3 linked regions of the Kluyveromyces lactis genome follow. The protein of the gene in region 2 interacts with the protein of the main gene of each other region in a biochemical or structural test. Links are inferred from orthologs where the notes say so. Each region holds a gene or a part of one and is shown on either strand. Other genes may lie near its edges.

Region 1 (6,881 bases), on a different chromosome or scaffold from region 2:
GCCACCTCCTCATGTGCCACAGATGACTGTGCCGGCAACTGTGCCAACTTCTGTTTCAACTCAGCATCTGCCCCCCCAAGTTGTATCAAACGTACAGACTCCATCGAAAACTGCATCTATTCAGCACTTGCCTTATTTGCATGTGTCTAAGAGTCAACCTATGGTCACACAGCAGGATTTACTCTCACAAAAGCAACCTGCAGGAAAAACAGTTCCTCAGACGGTTTCAAACTACACAAGTTCAGATCCATTCTCCAAAATTGATAGATCTGCTCTTTTGTCTACTTCTGCTACAATGGAATCACTACCGAGGGCAATGAGAATACCACAACTAGAATATCAACAGCCTCATCTTCTGACAAGATCGCAATCAGTAGTGCCTAGAGCCTCTGTGAGTCCAGTAAGAAATGGTAGAGGTGCCATTTCAAGTATCTTGGCATCAAACAGAACATCCTTAGATAGACCAAAGTATGTGGACTCTGAAACTCAAACCAGCGATCATCCATCAGAACTGGGTCTTTCACGATCTCTGTCTAGAAAATCAGTCGCATCATCTCTGTCTTCTGCGGAATCCTTGGAAGCTACCTCAACTGGCGGTAGCTTGACTCGTAAAATAGGTTCTAAGATGAAAAAAGTTATCACCGGAGAGAAGAGGGGCTTTTCAACCATTAGAAGTGCACAAAATACCGGTGAAAGCGTAAAATCCGCATTTAACGCATTAAGAAAGGGAATTTCCTCAATGCAGTTCACTGGTGATAGCAGTTCCAGAAAATCATCTTTAGAAGCAAGAAAGTATAGAAGTACTTCAGGCAAATCCATTCCTGAAAATACTTCTTCTAACACCAAATCCCATAGGCGGTCCACCAGCTCGTTTTCCTTCGTTCCGGAAAATAATGACTATGAATTGATCGAAGATATACAAAAGGAGAAACCAAAATCATCACTGAGAAGATCCTCTTCCTTGAAAACTTCATCTTCGATCCAGAAGCGCGTTAAAGATCTAATCAATGCAGATGATATACCCAATCGCTCTTCTGCCACTGGATACGGGAAATATACTGATATTGGGAGGAAAACCGATATATCTGACCACCATAAATCCAATGCAAATCGTAAATCAAGTACAGTGATCACTCCTGTGCATGAGGCTCCTAAATCCAAACCAGCACCGCCACCCAAACCAGCTCATTTGAAGCCAAATCTTCCACCTAAGCCTAAACACCTAAAGGCAAAATCTTTCAGAACAAGCCCAGCAAAATCCGAAGTTAAAGAGCAGGATTCCGATCAAGATTCTGTGGGTAGCCCTTTCCAATCTCGAAAAGAAATGAAAGAGTTTGAAAGAAGATTTCCAAGTGCATTATAGAATACTTTTAAAATTACATATATCTTTATAATGATATTCTAATTATTCCGATTCACTCCATTCTTCGAAAGAATCCAATATGAAATCAGTTGCTTCTTCAAAACGTTCATCGAATATGTTTGTCATTCCGTCACAATCTGCCTTCAAAACTCTACCATACTTCTTTCTTAACTTCTTATTTTCGTTGGCCGTACTACCCCAACAAGAATGTGTGCTACTTGTGAATACCAAGGAATTCTTGAAATACCAATCTCCTAACGTTTCGTCAATTAATGGCACCATTACTTTAAGAGGTTTTTTGTCTAAAAATGATATTGCACATTTTACCACTGACCTGGTATCCCTATGGCCTAATAAATGGACAATGCCTCCGTAGGCATCTCCAATGCCGATAAATGCCACCTTTTGTAGATTTTGGAAGAATTTCAAGTAGTTATCCCATAAATATATCAGAATCTCTTGTGATGACGCAACACCTGGGTAGTTGGCATGTTCAAAGAGTGTTTGAGGTATATTTATGTCAATTATTCCATATCTTCTATCCATTGCCCAATTGATCATCTTCAAAGCATTGTCGACGATAATTGAACTAGAAGGATCAATAATTCCTGTCTGTGTGTCACGTTCAGACCAAATCTCTGGTGTGTCATGCACGATCACCACAAGTGTTTCAGAGTCTTGGATACCTGAGGTGCATAGCATAGTATTTGCTGGTAAATTCAAATCAAGAATTGGAAGTTGAACAAAGTTGAATTGTGATGAGAGCTGTGAAACTTGGTATTCTCTAATAGCATTTTGTAAAGGGAAATTCCTTGTGTCCAATGTTGAAGTTATAGCATCCTTGAAATTGATCCCGTCATTTCCATGTCTGTTCTTAAAGCAAGACCAATACTTTGACTGCGTTCTGATGACTGTTTCGATCATTTTTTTTGCCTCTGGAGTTGGTTGCTTTTTAGGAGCAGGCAATTCATCTGGTGGTTCTCCGACCAACACCTTACAAACACCAAGCGCCGACTTAGCTATAGAATCCAAATTGTACCCACCTTCTAAGACAACACACAAGTTTCCTTTAGCCAACGAAAGTAGCATATGGGTCATGTGACCGTAACAAGCAGGAGTAACATGGCATTGGCCGATAGTGTCACCATCGGCTGCATCAAAACCAGATGAAATAAGGACCAAATCCGGTTCAAACTCGCGACCCATTGGCATGATAACTTGTTCAAAAGCCCACATGTATTCAGCATCACCAACACCGCCTGTTGGCCACGTTATATTACAATTGAAACCTTCACCTTTCCCTTCGCCGGTTTGGTCATAGTTTCCATGGATAGTACCTGGGTAATACTTGCCTAATTGATACCTGTGAAGAGATACATATAAAACTCTATCATCGTCATAGAAGGCCTTTTGAGTTCCGTTACCATGATGGATATCCCAATCAACGATCATGATTTTACGAACACTTTCAGGATACGATTTGAGCATATTTGCAGCAGCGACGGCTACGTTACTGAACAAACAAAAACCACCAGCAATTTCAGGTTCAGCGTGATGACCAGGTGGCCTTACTACAGCTATTGAGTTTTTCACTCTTCCCTCGACGACAGCCTTACATGCTTCGATAGCACCACCGCATGAAAGTTTGGCACTAAGATACGAGTCATTATTGAAATACACGGAATCTCCACCCTCAGTCTCCTTGAGTAAACTTTCACGTTCGAGCTGTTCTGTCTGTGATATGAAATCCAAATGCTGTCTTGAATGGACTTGCAAAATTTCTTCCTCTTCAGCTTCACGTACGGGAACCTTCACCATTAGATCTCCGATCGAATCTGCACCACTCAAAGTTGGGTCCTGAATCAATCCATTCTCCGCTAGGATCTTGTAAACACGGTAGATACGGCGGGGGTCCTCTGGATGTGGATCGATGTATTCGAAGTAAGACGTGAAGATCTTAGCATGATAACGCATCCTCACATCATAACAGATCCCGGTTTTCAAAAGACTATATCTAATCTTTGGCTTCGTTGGTGGAACAATGACAGGCCGTTGAGATTCATCTTTACTGGGCAGAGTATATGCAGTACCCTCATTTTTAATTTCCTTGATGCTGGGCCTTTCCAGCGGCTCTTCAGCCGGTTTTTTACTTTCCATGTTCCGAATATATTATGGAAAGGTAACCACGATAATGTTGAATGACAGGCAATGGCAAAAGGGATACCGTAACTAGCTTTCAATGGGAAACGGTCTACTAGAAATGAATGATACAACCACAAATTACGTAACTCCAATGCACGCTTAATTCCCTAGAGCGCCTTTTTACCTTCTAATCGTGAGGAAAGGCTAAAAGTCCACTGAAAATGGCGGAAAAGCTGTGAGAGAACTCTCTTCGTTCGGATTATCTCTCGAAATTTTACTGGCCAAAAAAGTTGTTTTGTGTTCAGATACCGTCAGAATCGTTTGATTGACCTTGGTTATATGGACGTAGCTGTCTTGCACAGGATCTGGTACTCAGAAGATCCGTATGAAGATCAGCTGTTTCACATATGGTTCCATGAGCGCAGGAAATTGTTGATGTTTTAAAGTTCCAATATTTACAGAAAACCAAACTGAGGTGACAATAGAAAAGAAATTATTTTTCAACATCGGACTCTTCAAGTACTGAAAATTGAAAATGTATAATACGTATGAAGAAACATGTAACAAGAGCTCATCGCGATGAGGTATAGAATAGACGTAATATAGTTACGTGTTAGAACTGATTTTGCTGGATCTGTGGTACAAGCTATACAGCGCTATTTCATTGGATTTTCATTTTAACTTCATTGTGATTCGAGATGGAATTCTACCGTGATGCAACCTGGGTATTGGAATTCGTGGAACAGGAGCTCTCTAAAGACAAGAGAGTTGCAGGTTCGTTACAGACCTTGGTACTTACTAGTTGTAAAAGATATAAGCTGAAGACAAATCCTCGTCACATTTATGCCATTGTTAGTAGTACATGGCAGTATAGGGAATATCTAGATAAAATCATTAAGAAGAGCGGGATCTTGGAGGACGTACCGAAAAAGAAAGGGAAACCGCTGTTCAATAAGGATACCATAAGGCTCCTAGTACACGACCTTTTACTTTCAAAATCGAAGCGGATTCAGATGGGTAAGCATCCTATCAAAACTTTCATTTTGAAGCATCAGACTAGGTTAAAGGCTGAGTTGACAAAGCTCAAAGTTAAACTTAAAGTCACCAGTCTGTCGCAGTTAATCAAAACCGATGATGGAGAAGATGTTACACCGGTTCGTTGGATCAGAATTAACCCTATCCTTGTCAAGGAAAGATATGACGATGTTCTTGCTGAATTAAACAAGAAATTCCCACAAAGAGTGAACTCTTGGAAACAAATCGTTCCTGGGAGCATATATTACGATGAGTATATTCCAAACTTGTTTGGCATTCATCCAGGTGATAAGATCACTTCGCATGAGCAATATAAGAGGGGGAAAATTATCATTCAAGACAGGGCATCCTGTTTCCCCGCCCACATCCTCAATCCAAACAGTACTGACGTTGTTATCGATGCATGTGCGGCTCCCGGCAATAAAACCACACACGTTGCGGCACATATCTTTGGAGACGTTGACACCAAGGTCGATTCAGTCAAGATACATGCTTTTGAGAAGGATCCTGAGCGTGCAAAAACTTTACAGATGATGGTTGCCACCGCGGGTTGTGCTAAGGGGGTCAAGATACATGTTGGTGATTTCACAAAACTTGGTAAACCAGAACTTTTCCAGAATGTAACTGGATTCATCGTTGATCCAAGTTGTTCTGGCTCTGGTATATTTGGCCGTAAGGCAATTGATAAAGTAAACTTGAGCAAGACTGGGTCATCAAACACCGATGAAGATCAGACCTCGGTTGAACCTGTGGAGCAAGAAAAAGAATTGTTTGAAAAGGAACAAGATTTGAAGAATAGATTAGCCAAATTATCATCTTTCCAATACCAAATTGTGAAACACGCCATGTCTTTCCCATCTGCTAAGAAAATATGCTATAGTACTTGTTCTATTCATGCTGAAGAAAACGAAAGAGTTGTCATTGATTTGCTCTTAGACTCAAAGGTCAAGGAATGGGGTTGGAAAGTAAGAAAGAGAACCGGTGTAATTCCAACATGGCCTAGAAGAGGATGGACCAGTGAATTTGAAGAGGTGTTTCCGAAAGAGGAAGCAAAAGAGTTGGCAGAAGGGTGCATCAGGGCTTTACCGAAGGAAGATGGTGGCATTGGCTTTTTCGCCGTATGCTTTGAGCGAGATTAGTAAAAGTCCATTAGTTCTATATCCACTGTCCATGATAAAATAAATATCGAATCATAGCAAAGTTATTGGCGTAACAAACGTAGAAATATATTCATTATATATTAATTAATTAATCTAATTTAGATAGAACATCCTCCAACACTTGTTGGGTGGTGGAGTTACCACCAAGATCTGGTGTCAAGTATTTACCCTCTCTGATGTTGGCATCAACAGCTTTGTGGATATCCTTTGCCGGTTCTGGGTAACCCAAAAATTCCAACATCAATGCAGTGGATCTGATGGTGGCAATTGGATTAGAAATACCTTTACCAGCGATATCAGGGGCAGAGCCATGACATGGTTCACCAATAACGATGTTTGGACCAACATTGGCAGATGGAACAACACCCAAGGAGCCAACTAGGGCAGCAGCACCATCAGAAAGAATGTCACCGTACAAGTTTGGTGCAACAACAACGTCGAAACATTCTGGTTCTCTGAACATTCTGTAAACCATGGAATCGACGATTTGTTCATTATATTGGACACCTCCGTACTTGTCCTTGTTAGCTTCATAAGTTTCTCTGCATACCTCTCTGAAAAGACCATCAGATTGTGAAAGAACATTGGATTTGTGAGTAACTGTTAAAGTGGCATGACCGTTCTGTTCCAATCTCTGTTGAGCGATTTGTAGAGCGATAGTAGCAATGTTTTTGGTTGCTATTTCGGTAATTCTCTTGGTAGCATCTGCAACTCTGGTTCCGGTGGCTTCATCGATGTATGACTTTTCCAATTTAATGTATAAATCTTCAGTGTTTTCTCTAACGATGACTAGGTCAACTTTTCTGTCCTTAGTACCATCAACAGATTTAACAGGACGAACGTTAGCGAAAAGTCCCAAATTCTTTCTTAGGGCAACGATTGGAGAAGAGTAACCTTCAACCTTAGTCGTTGGTGATTGCACAGCACCAAATAAAGCACCTTCACATTGGTTCTTCAAGATATCAATGGTTTCGTCAGGGAGTGCCTTACCGGTGTTTTGGAAGGTTTCCCAACCAGCTTGCAAATCAATGAATTTAAACGATAGACCGTACTTTGGGTTCAATGATTCTAAGATCTTCTTACCAGCAGGAATAACTTCTTTACCAATACCATCACCTGGAATTAAACCAATTGTTAAATTCTTCGCATTGGAAGCGTAAGCACGACGGGACAATTGAATG
Region 2 (4,894 bases):
CCAGGAGCCCATTTCAAATGGATTAAATTCAAAGACAGTTGCATTCAAATTGACAACCTGAGTACCGGGATATCTACCAACAGCTACTGAAATAGGGAAAGGCATTTCACCATTTTTAAAAACATCAACATCTCTCAAGGTATTCCACGTATAACCCACACCACCTTCGTCCAATGATGGGAAGAAATTGTAAGATAGGGCGCGGCCCCATACATCAGTTATAGATGTGTTGAAGCCGGCTTTTTTTTTCTCTTCCACTGCGTCTGAGATGTCATCCCAACGAGAAATACTGGAAAAAATGTTGATACCGCCAGGATTGACGATAGAATTACTAATATCCCAAATACTATTATCGTCAGTCATGTTGTTGATAATTGCTTGAACAGAAGTCCAGTTATTGTAGGCCAAAGTCCCAACGAGCCAGTTACCACCAGACAAACCAGCCAAATAAGTTGAACTTTGTAATAACCCACCCAAACCATGATCATTTGCACCGTCAGTTCTATTATCCATGGCAGAAATCATACCAGCACCGCTCAACATTGCTCTATAACCACCACCAGAGCAGGCAATAGCAACCTTGGGAGCAGTGTCTTGGGTCGCTAACAGTTTATCAATGATTGAGGTGTCATTGGTAAAACCCTTAAAACCACGCTGCAAGAAGTCCTTCAAAGCTGGTACAGTAGATTCGTGTCTAACTTTCAACCAATCCGCTTCATCATCTGAAACAGCATCAGCTTTTCTAACCAAGTTTATATTCTCATCACAATCGACCACACCAGGAGCGTAACCATTTGTCGGAGACCATGCGTTAACGGCATCTAGATGTAGGGCAACCGAACATACCAGAAACAACAGATTAACTGAGTTCAAAAACCACATCAGAAAAGGAATAAACTAATCTTTAACTCGGAACAATTCTATAGATAACCTAACTCAGAGTTGATGTCTGCGCCCTTCACGATAATACTATGTACAGAAGTGACACACTCCAAAAGATTCAATAAAATAATCGTTTGATTTTACCGAGTGTGGACTTTCTATCGTAAAAGCTGATTGTTTAACTGCTTTAAGTTATGGACTTGGAAATCAACTTAATTGGGTCGAGTTAGGACTCAAGATGTAGATGAGAGAAACGGTAGCATTGTTATATATTCACCAGGTTCCATAGTTTATTGATTTATGACAAAATATTAGCTGAGCATTTAAACTTCTATATTTTCCACTTTTCTTCACGCAAAGTGTGTAGGATTGTTATAGTTAGAATTCATCACGCATGCCCGCAAAAAAATGTCTAAAAAAACGCACGGAAAATACAATCTATGTATTACCATAGTAACGACGCACCTAAGAAATGGTACAAGTGCATTATTATCAAAGGGTTTCCAAAAATTTTGTTAAGTAAATGCCCTTCCCCCTATAATAGACGCTGCATGAAGCCCCTATTAGTTGGAGGAAAGGAGGTAAAAGAGGCTGGCAATACAGACAAATTTTCGGATGCACGTACAAAAATTGGAACATTAGTCTAACTGAAAATGCTCAGTTGTCAAGCATTCACTTTAAAGCCCTTTTACTATTCCATTCGAAAAACGAATTCCGGCCCTCATTTAAAATTAAAGGGGACACACAGTGAAAATACCATCATTGCAGTAACACCACTACCATATGTTCTTCGAAATGAGCCGGAACGTTTCTTAAATCCATCAGTGGCTCCTACGCTCTTTAAGGGTACAAGGTTGCAAGCATCTCGAGTTCATAAATAGTTACCCTGCCATGCTGTCTCGTCTGAGGGAAAAGGAAAAAAAAAACAACCGGTAGAATAGCAGGCGGCAAAAAAAAAAAAATCAAGAAAGCGGCAAACTGCACTTCAAAGCTAGACCAATCAAACCGTATGTTCACCTTTGACAACTCCAGACATGTCGATGCCTGTATATCTTCATTATTTCAAATACCTTCGTCCCTCCCGGTTCTTCCTAGCCCTTACCCCAAATCTTATTACTTGTAGCAAATCTCACAATATGAAAGTAAGAGAGGAAACACGAAACTTTCAGACAGAAAAATAAAAATAAAAAATAAACATCAAAACAAACAAAAACAAATCGATATCAACTTAACTTAACTTAACTTCACATAAGTTGAATATTGGACCAGAGGGACTAAGAAAAGATAGAATCTGCTGTTTGCTTTCAAGTTTGAGATATATACGATCAGACATTGCAAGAAAGAGCATATTAAAGTTATTATAGGAGAAACAACATGTCAGGAAAAGTACACGGTGGAAAGGGTAAGTCGGGAGCCAAAGACAGTGGTTCATTGAAATCACAATCACATTCTGCTAGAGCTGGTCTTCAGTTTCCGGTTGGGAGAGTGAAGCGTTATTTGAAGAGAAATGCTGCTGGAAGAACCCGTGTTGGGTCCAAGGCTGCTATTTACTTGACTGCTGTTCTTGAGTATTTGACTGCTGAAGTTTTGGAATTGGCTGGTAACGCTGCTAAAGATTTGAAGGTGAAGAGAATTACCCCAAGACATTTACAACTTGCTATCAGAGGTGATGATGAATTAGACTCCTTGATCAGAGCCACTATCGCTTCTGGTGGTGTTCTACCTCATATCAACAAGGCTTTGTTGTTGAAAGTGGAAAAGAAGCATAAATGAAGCGTGAAAATTGTATCAATTTGAATGAAGTTTAATGAGACTAAGCGCTTAAAAACAGCTCTCTATTGTTATTTCATTATTATATTTCTTCTACTTTTTGACTCTAACTGTAATCATATCCCAGGGTGAAGGGTTGTATATTTTCATCTCCACTTCCCCCCCCTCTCTTTTCCCTTGTCGTGATGGTACACTACTAATTCACCGCATTATCTTATCTCAAAATATCAAAAGTGCAATTTAACCCTCATCTATTCCATTTCCATATTTTTATTAAACAGTTATGTATATGTAACATCTATAATCCAATTCCTACTTTTACTCATGACCTGTTAATATTAGAGCTTGTGTTTACGTCTATACTCAAATACTTATTCATTCCAGAATAGGACTATATACAAGTTTGTTCCGTTAGAATATCGGTGGTCCAATATCCTTTTTGTATTTTCATTTATGTGAGGAGAGTTTTGACTGAATTAATTTTAGTTCTTCCTTAAGACTTTGACATGATTTTATTTGGTCGCTTTGGGTCTTAGTCGTTGATCTCAGTTCTTCGATTTCCGATTGTAAAAAAGCAATATCTTGAGTGACCTGTTCACGTCTATCCAGCTCCTTTTGACGCTGTCTTAAAGTCTCCCACACTACAACACTACCCGTAACACCAAATACAAAGCCTTCGCTGAGCAACGTTGCACCATTTTCAACAGCTTTCGTATCGTTCAACGGACGAATCGTTTTGGAAAACTTAGTTGGCGTCAGTTTGCTTCTCAACACAACATCTGCAACGTGCATTTTCTGGGCCAAACCGATGCAAATTTCCTTGAATACAGCATGCTCTTTTGCTTGCCGCTTCAGCACGTTTGCCATTGGTCGTGTAACCTGCCGTACAAGCAACGCACCCAGTTTCAATGCTATAGCACTCATTTATTCTCTTAACTCGCCGCCTTAGCACGTATACCTATATAGCATCAACTACGCAACCTTAGACATAGCAGAACTTCAGCTTTCCCTTGATATAACTCTTCTACACTCCCATGTATGTATTTTATCAAACTCTATTTTTCTTATACGCAACTTGAAAGATATCGAAACGTTTATACAGACTAAAAAAAGGTTTAAAACTGTGAAATGATCCAAAGAGAAACATCTTGCAGACAAAACTGGGAATCGAAACAAGGAGCTGAGACAGTTTATGTCCTATCACTTTTCGGAGACTGACCTTTTGATTCTTCTCAAGCTTGCTACAACGTCGACGTCATGTTTGGTTTATTCAATCGGAATCCTGAAGCTGGTGCTCCTGGTCAACCGCAAAATGTGTTTCTGACCCAAAAGTTTATTGCCTACTCCCTTATGTCATATACGGCAGCCGCATGGTCTTTACATTATTGTGTAACAACATCTTTCTCTTATTTGCATGCAATGACGAAGATTACCGAGGGTATCCATGCCATGATATGGGGGAATCTCTTTCTATTAAACAGCGTCTTAATACTAAAGGGTGTCATTCACATGCTATTTGGACAGTTACGGTTGATTGAATATGAACATATTCTCGAACGGATATCGTATACCGTAATAACTTTGTTATTATCGTGCTCGTCGATGAATGGGCTCATCTCAGTTATGCAGATACACTGTGTGCTTTTTGTTTGCTGTAGAACGTTACACTGGATCCTCAAGGACAGAATGGAAGTCACTTTCCAGGCAAATGACATGCGCCTTACTTTGAAAGATATATTACTTTCGAGGTTCATGTTCAATTTATTAGTCCTAACAGCCGTAGATGGTATCATAGTGGCATATTACGTTAATAAGATCTTGTACAAATCTAACATTGACGTTACATATACCCTGTTCATTATAAGCCAATATGCTATACTTGGGACAGATTTACTGCAGGTTATCTTACGTACTGGGCTCAATTTGTTTGAGCTTTCTACTATTCAAAACAGAGCAAGAATTCGTCGCAATGCGGATCATCACGTCGATGAGCCTGTTATCAATCACGAAGAAAGGCCAAATGCCGTTGCCATTGAAGAAGATGAGGATGAGGATGAGGAAAATGCAGGATTGGAAGGGAAATTCATTTATGAGAAATTAATTGATGTTTTCATTAGTACTGTTAAAGTTATAATTAAATTCGCTTCCTCTTTCTCCACCGGCAGAGTAATGATGGTGACGGTTCTGTGGGAAGCGATCACTACATTTAAATCTGCTAGAGGATTGTGGAAAAATTGGAAAA
Region 3 (5,117 bases), on a different chromosome or scaffold from region 2:
GGGATGGAGGGAATGCCTTTTTATAAAACCACGTGATCAATAACCGTATAATGTGACTAAGGACTTAGAAAAGTGTAACACAATTTATCATAGTGAACAGCCTGTTCTAAGTCACAAAAGTAGGAGACAGTTGCATATATAAAAAAAAATAAAATGCACTAGACTCTTCAAATAATGGAACTCATCTTGCTTTCGTCTTGATGATGGGTTGTTCTTTGTACCTTCTACTTTTAACTCATTTGTCATTCCAAATCGTAGTGTAAAACTAGTTCACCTCTTTCAAGAACTTTAGCAAGGCATGCTAATCTCAGAGCTATGCACTACTCACTAGCGTAAAAATACTGAAGTGAGATAAAAAAAGTAAATACTCTTCTGTTCCTTGGATAATCGAAATTTTCAAAATATATAATTCATATCAAAGAGTAATGTCAAAGAGGGATTGTGGTAAACACAGGGGTTTAAGATAGTGTTCAAGCGTTGTTTACACGTCTGTCGAACTTATAAATTTCAAGAAACGTTATCAAATCTTATAAATACTGTGCCAAGTTTGGTTTATTTTGTCGTTTGAATATATTGAAGTGTTCTTACAGGTAAAGATTATAACGTGCTTTGTGGAGAATCACAAGAGGAAGATCATCTGGTTAACCAAATTTATCACGATACCTAATTAGGTAACTATAGAAGAGCAAGAAACGATCAAGACGAAATTTCAACATGCAGGGAGAAGATTACGGATACGACTATGACTTTTTGTTTAAGAGTATGTTTTAATTTGTTGAACAAGTGCTAGCGCTTTGAGAAAGATTAGTTATCAGCTAATTGAATTATATAATAGGAGGGGAGGCAGTGATGCCCTATCACTTACCTCCAATGATGGAGTGTGCAGAGCGTTATTTCAACTGCTTCGAAGCCTAAAACCAAAACGTTTCGGTGGCATGTTCCGTCAACAGGGGATCTCCAGGGTCCCGTCCCTCCTCTTAATTCAGTTGAGTCTTTTAATCTTAATTCAGTGGTTATACTTTGTTCATCGCACATGCGAAATTTTGTTAACACCAAGGGTGGTGGTAATAATCTTATGCTTCTAAAATGAGCAGTTGTTTTACTAACCCGAAAATTATATCAAAAAACCGTATTATTGTGGTTTGCTGGATACGATTATCTTATTAACAGTCGTGCTAATTGGAGATTCTGGAGTTGGTAAATCCAATTTGCTATCGCGATTCACAGCTAATGAATTTAACCTTGATTCAAAGACTACTATCGGTGTAGAGTTTGCTACAAGGACCATTGAAGTGGAAGGTAAAAAGATAAAGGCCCAAATTTGGGATACTGCTGGCCAAGAACGTTACCGCGCAATCACCACAGCATACTACAGGGCGGCAGTTGGCGCTTTAATAGTTTATGATATCACTAAATCAAGTTCCTACGAAAATTGTAACCACTGGTTGGCTGAATTGAAACAAAATGCCGATGAAAATGTCGCTGTTGGACTCATTGGTAATAAATCTGATTTGGATCATAAACGTGCGGTTCCAACAGATGAGGCTAGGAATTATGCTCAAGAAAATCAACTTCTTTTCACGGAAACTAGTGCATTGAATGCTGACAATGTTGACGAAGCGTTCAGAGCATTGATTACTGCTATCTACCAAATGATTTCCAAAAATCAACTAGACTTGAATGACGCCTCAGGAAACAATGCCAACGCTCCAAAGGGACCTACGATCTCTTTGACACCGGCACCAAACGAAAAACACAAAAAGAGTACAAACAACTGCTGTTAGGAATTCTAAACGTGTATTATGGTCATTCCTTATAGGGTGTTTATATAGAAAGTATAAGCCCCGGAAAGAAAAAGGGAAGCAGAATTATCATCGACTGGGACATTTATCCCGATTAAGTTAGACACTTGTTTTATGTATATAACATTGACTGCCATAATTATGCAAATACTAGCTGTTTGGAAGGACATCCTGAAACTTCTTAACTGCAAAATACCTTCTCAGTTCATTGCGTCGTATCCATTGTTCTTTTAAATGAAACACTACCATAATGTCAAACATGGAGATTTAGTGAAACTACAAACTTTTATATGCGCTTGAGTAAATTTTTAATTCAAATTTCTATTTGGGTTCAGTCGGACTAGCAGGGGCAGGGGCAGGAGCAGCTGGATCCTTGAACTCTTCGTCATTTTCTTCATCGTCTTCATCATCATCATCATCCTTGCCAACCTCACCATTTTTTTCCAATTTCTCGGCAGTCTTTTTATAATCAATAATCTTACCACGAGTTCTCCTACCAGTAGTTATAATATTGGAACTATCGATTTCTGAAAGGTCGTCTTCTTCTTCATCTTCTTTTACCATCATTTGATCTAATTTTTCGTCATCGACTTCACTTTCACTATCTTCTTCCTTGTTAGCACCAGAAGTAGCAGATGCCTTGTCTTCTTGAGCAATTTTTTCATCCAAATCATCATAGTTTCTTCTTCTTCTCTTCTTTTTAGATTTCTTATCGTTGGCATCAGCGGTAGAAGCAAGCTCACTTTCAGCACTTCTTTTAGCTTGTGAAGCAACGTTGGAAGAGTCAGGCTCTTCTGCACCTATTTGAAATTCTTGCTTATCCTTAATTTCTTCAGCCATATTTGCAAACTTTGTATCTGTTGATATGATTAGTGTGCTGATGTTCGAGGAGTACGACCTAGGCTCACGCAATGCTTTTTTTGATCTAAAGATGCTTACCAGTATTTGTTTCCTTTTCGCATCTTGCGAACCAAATATAATTCATATTATCTCAAATCCCAAAGAAACATAATTTTCCACGTGATCATTTTTTTTCATAGCCGCATAGTGGATGAATTCTAACTATCATGTTGTATCGAAAATTAAAACATTAACTAGTTTCACGATCAATGAGTAACTTGCGTTGGTCCTATAAAGAATCACTGCTACGGACCGCTTTTTTGTGCATGATATAAGGATACCTCTTACAATCGAGTTTACAGTCTTTTTCACTTTCTTTGTTCACCAAGAAGAATAGTTATATCTCTAAGCATATCATACAAAAGATACAAGGACGATGTCGCAAGTTGAAGTTAAAAAGAAGGAAACGAAGCTATCAGATTTGATAGATTATAGAATACGAGTCGCTACCCATGACGGAAGGGTTTATATTGGCCAACTTATGGCTTTTGATGCATATATGAACCTTGTAATGGGAGATTGTGTAGAGGAACGCATGCCTCATAAACAAATCATAGAAGTACTTAAAAGTGGAGGAAACTTGTCAAGCAATGTGCAAGTCGAAAGAAGGACTTTTGGACTAATAATTTTACGGGGTGAGCATGTGTTGAGTACCTCGGTTGAGTCACCTCCCCAACTCTCTAAGAAGGAACGAATCGAAGTCCAGAAGAAGAATGCAAAAAAATTAGATAATGCGAAAAAGGCTCGTCAAGGGAAGACTTCTAACAAGATGAACGTTGGAACGAATGGATCTAATATAACTTCAACTAACTCAGAAAGTTCAAATAGAGTTACGAAGCCAAGTCATAAACCTATCAATACGAATTCTGGAGCTCCCAGTAGGTTTAATTCTAATAGTCAGGTACGCCCCAGCCGGTTCCAAGCCCCTCCAGGCTTCAAAAAAAGAAACTAAACCAGCGAACAACTTGTCATACTTATTGATATAAAAAAAATTGTTTTGGTGCTACGATCACCGATCTTAGCTATAATTATCCGAGACATGTTGATAGATATGTCTTTAGTTACCTCTTACGTACACGCAGAGGACTTTGGATATCCCACTGTAACGACTAGAACAAGAAGATATAGAATTTATCTAGCTTTATCCAGTGTAATGATATCCCTGTACTGCGCAACGTTAAAAGCCTGTGCGAAATATGATTATCCACCTCATTCCCTTTTCAACCACCCCACCAAATGCCTATACGAAACCTCCAGATATACCCCATGACCCCACCATAGCCCTGCGGACAAAAGAAATGTTATGTGTTAAATATGGCTTCCAACTGGACAATCATGGTGCGGAATATCTCTCAGCTGAGAACGGGCAAGAATTAGAGTTTGCAAGTTTCGCAAAAACAACAAATATATCGCATGCCACGATATCATGAGTGTGTGTTTTTTTTATAGGAATCCGGAGAAATAGTCCTACTGATTGTTCAAGCATCCCGGAAAAACCACTTCGAGATTTTCCGTGTGAGGCTTCCACTAATTTCCCCCAGAAATTACCATTGATTGTTTCGGAAAAATTATTCTCCCTGGAGTAATCTACCTGAATAAAAAAAAAATCTTTGTGCAAATTCAAGCTCCGTTGCTTTCATAGAGTCTCGTCATTAATTTCTAATTGTCCAGCTGTTCAGTCTTTGTCGTAAGATGGTGGAAATCCAACCCACTTTAACTTACCAAAGCACCGTAATCATCATCATCATCATAATACACCGTGTACTTAAATATACATACATATATATATATGGGTAGTTACCACGATTTGTCATGTCTTCCCCCCACTATCTTTCTTTCGTCTCTTTCCTGAATCGTTTAGTTCCTATTAACTTAAATGTGAAACATAATCCTTTCAAAAGCCTTATCAGGAAAGAGAAGATCCATCACAGAGTGAACTACTAGCCAGTTATACGATACAATATCCACCAATAAAGTCCAAAATAACAATAAATCACAAAACATAACAAACAAATTAACATGTCAACACCAAAAGAGTGCAACGACAGACCATATTTATGTGAAATTTGTGGGAACAGATTCCATAGGTTGGAACACAAGACAAGGCATATACGAACACACACAGGAGAAAAGCCTTTCGCATGCACGGTTCCTGGTTGTCCCAAGCGATTTAGCCGAAATGACGAATTAAAGAGACACATCAAAACACATTTCAAATCAAGAAAAAGAAAGCCAAGAACCATTAGACCTAAATCCAGATCATCCAGTCAGGTAAATCTAGCTCAAATGAATGAACAGGGTATTCCAGTTAATAATACCGATAAACTTATAGCCCCACAGCCAACTCTACCTGCTATGATCCCTGTGCCATATCATTTACAAACTTCAATGTACTTAGACGTGGAAAAACCAGCC

What was found.
Region 1: of the proteins of HTZ1 (region 2) and HDA1, one has a biochemical effect on the other in vitro, tested with the Saccharomyces cerevisiae proteins (2 studies listed by BioGRID). The link is inferred for Kluyveromyces lactis from reciprocal best matches to the Saccharomyces cerevisiae genes HTZ1 and HDA1.
Region 3: the proteins of HTZ1 (region 2) and CHZ1 are reported together in a solved structure, tested with the Saccharomyces cerevisiae proteins (3 studies listed by BioGRID, with this or other methods). The link is inferred for Kluyveromyces lactis from reciprocal best matches to the Saccharomyces cerevisiae genes HTZ1 and CHZ1.

The regions. Positions count from the first base shown.
Region 1 is NC_006041.1:750,687-757,567, reverse strand, and holds HDA1 (histone deacetylase HDA1), read right to left. Parts: upstream 3,521-6,881; coding exon 1,406-3,520; downstream 1-1,405. Other genes in the region: KLLA0_E08405g (Ark/Prk/Nak family serine/threonine-protein kinase), read left to right, coding at 1-1,363; rRNA (cytosine-C5-)-methyltransferase RCM1, read left to right, coding at 4,204-5,679; LYS12 (homoisocitrate dehydrogenase), read right to left, coding at 5,789-6,881. UniProt on the Saccharomyces cerevisiae protein: Responsible for the deacetylation of lysine residues on the N-terminal part of the core histones (H2A, H2B, H3 and H4).
Region 2 is NC_006039.1:520,756-525,649, reverse strand, and holds HTZ1 (histone H2AZ), read left to right. Parts: upstream 1-2,256; coding exon 2,257-2,655; downstream 2,656-4,894. Other genes in the region: PLB3 (lysophospholipase), read right to left, coding at 1-882; KLLA0_C05896g (OPA3 family protein), read right to left, coding at 3,100-3,576; E3 ubiquitin-protein ligase HRD1, read left to right, coding at 3,910-4,894. UniProt on the Saccharomyces cerevisiae protein: Variant histone H2A which can replace H2A in some nucleosomes. Nucleosomes wrap and compact DNA into chromatin, limiting DNA accessibility to the cellular machineries which require DNA as a template.
Region 3 is NC_006038.1:47,060-52,176, reverse strand, and holds CHZ1 (Chz1p), read right to left. Parts: upstream 2,643-5,117; coding exon 2,124-2,642; downstream 1-2,123. Other genes in the region: Rab family GTPase YPT31, read left to right, coding at 715-760, 1,171-1,784; mRNA splicing protein SMB1, read left to right, coding at 3,079-3,654. UniProt on the Saccharomyces cerevisiae protein: Forms a chaperone-bound H2A.Z-H2B complex that acts as a source for SWR1 complex-dependent H2A to H2A.Z histone replacement in chromatin.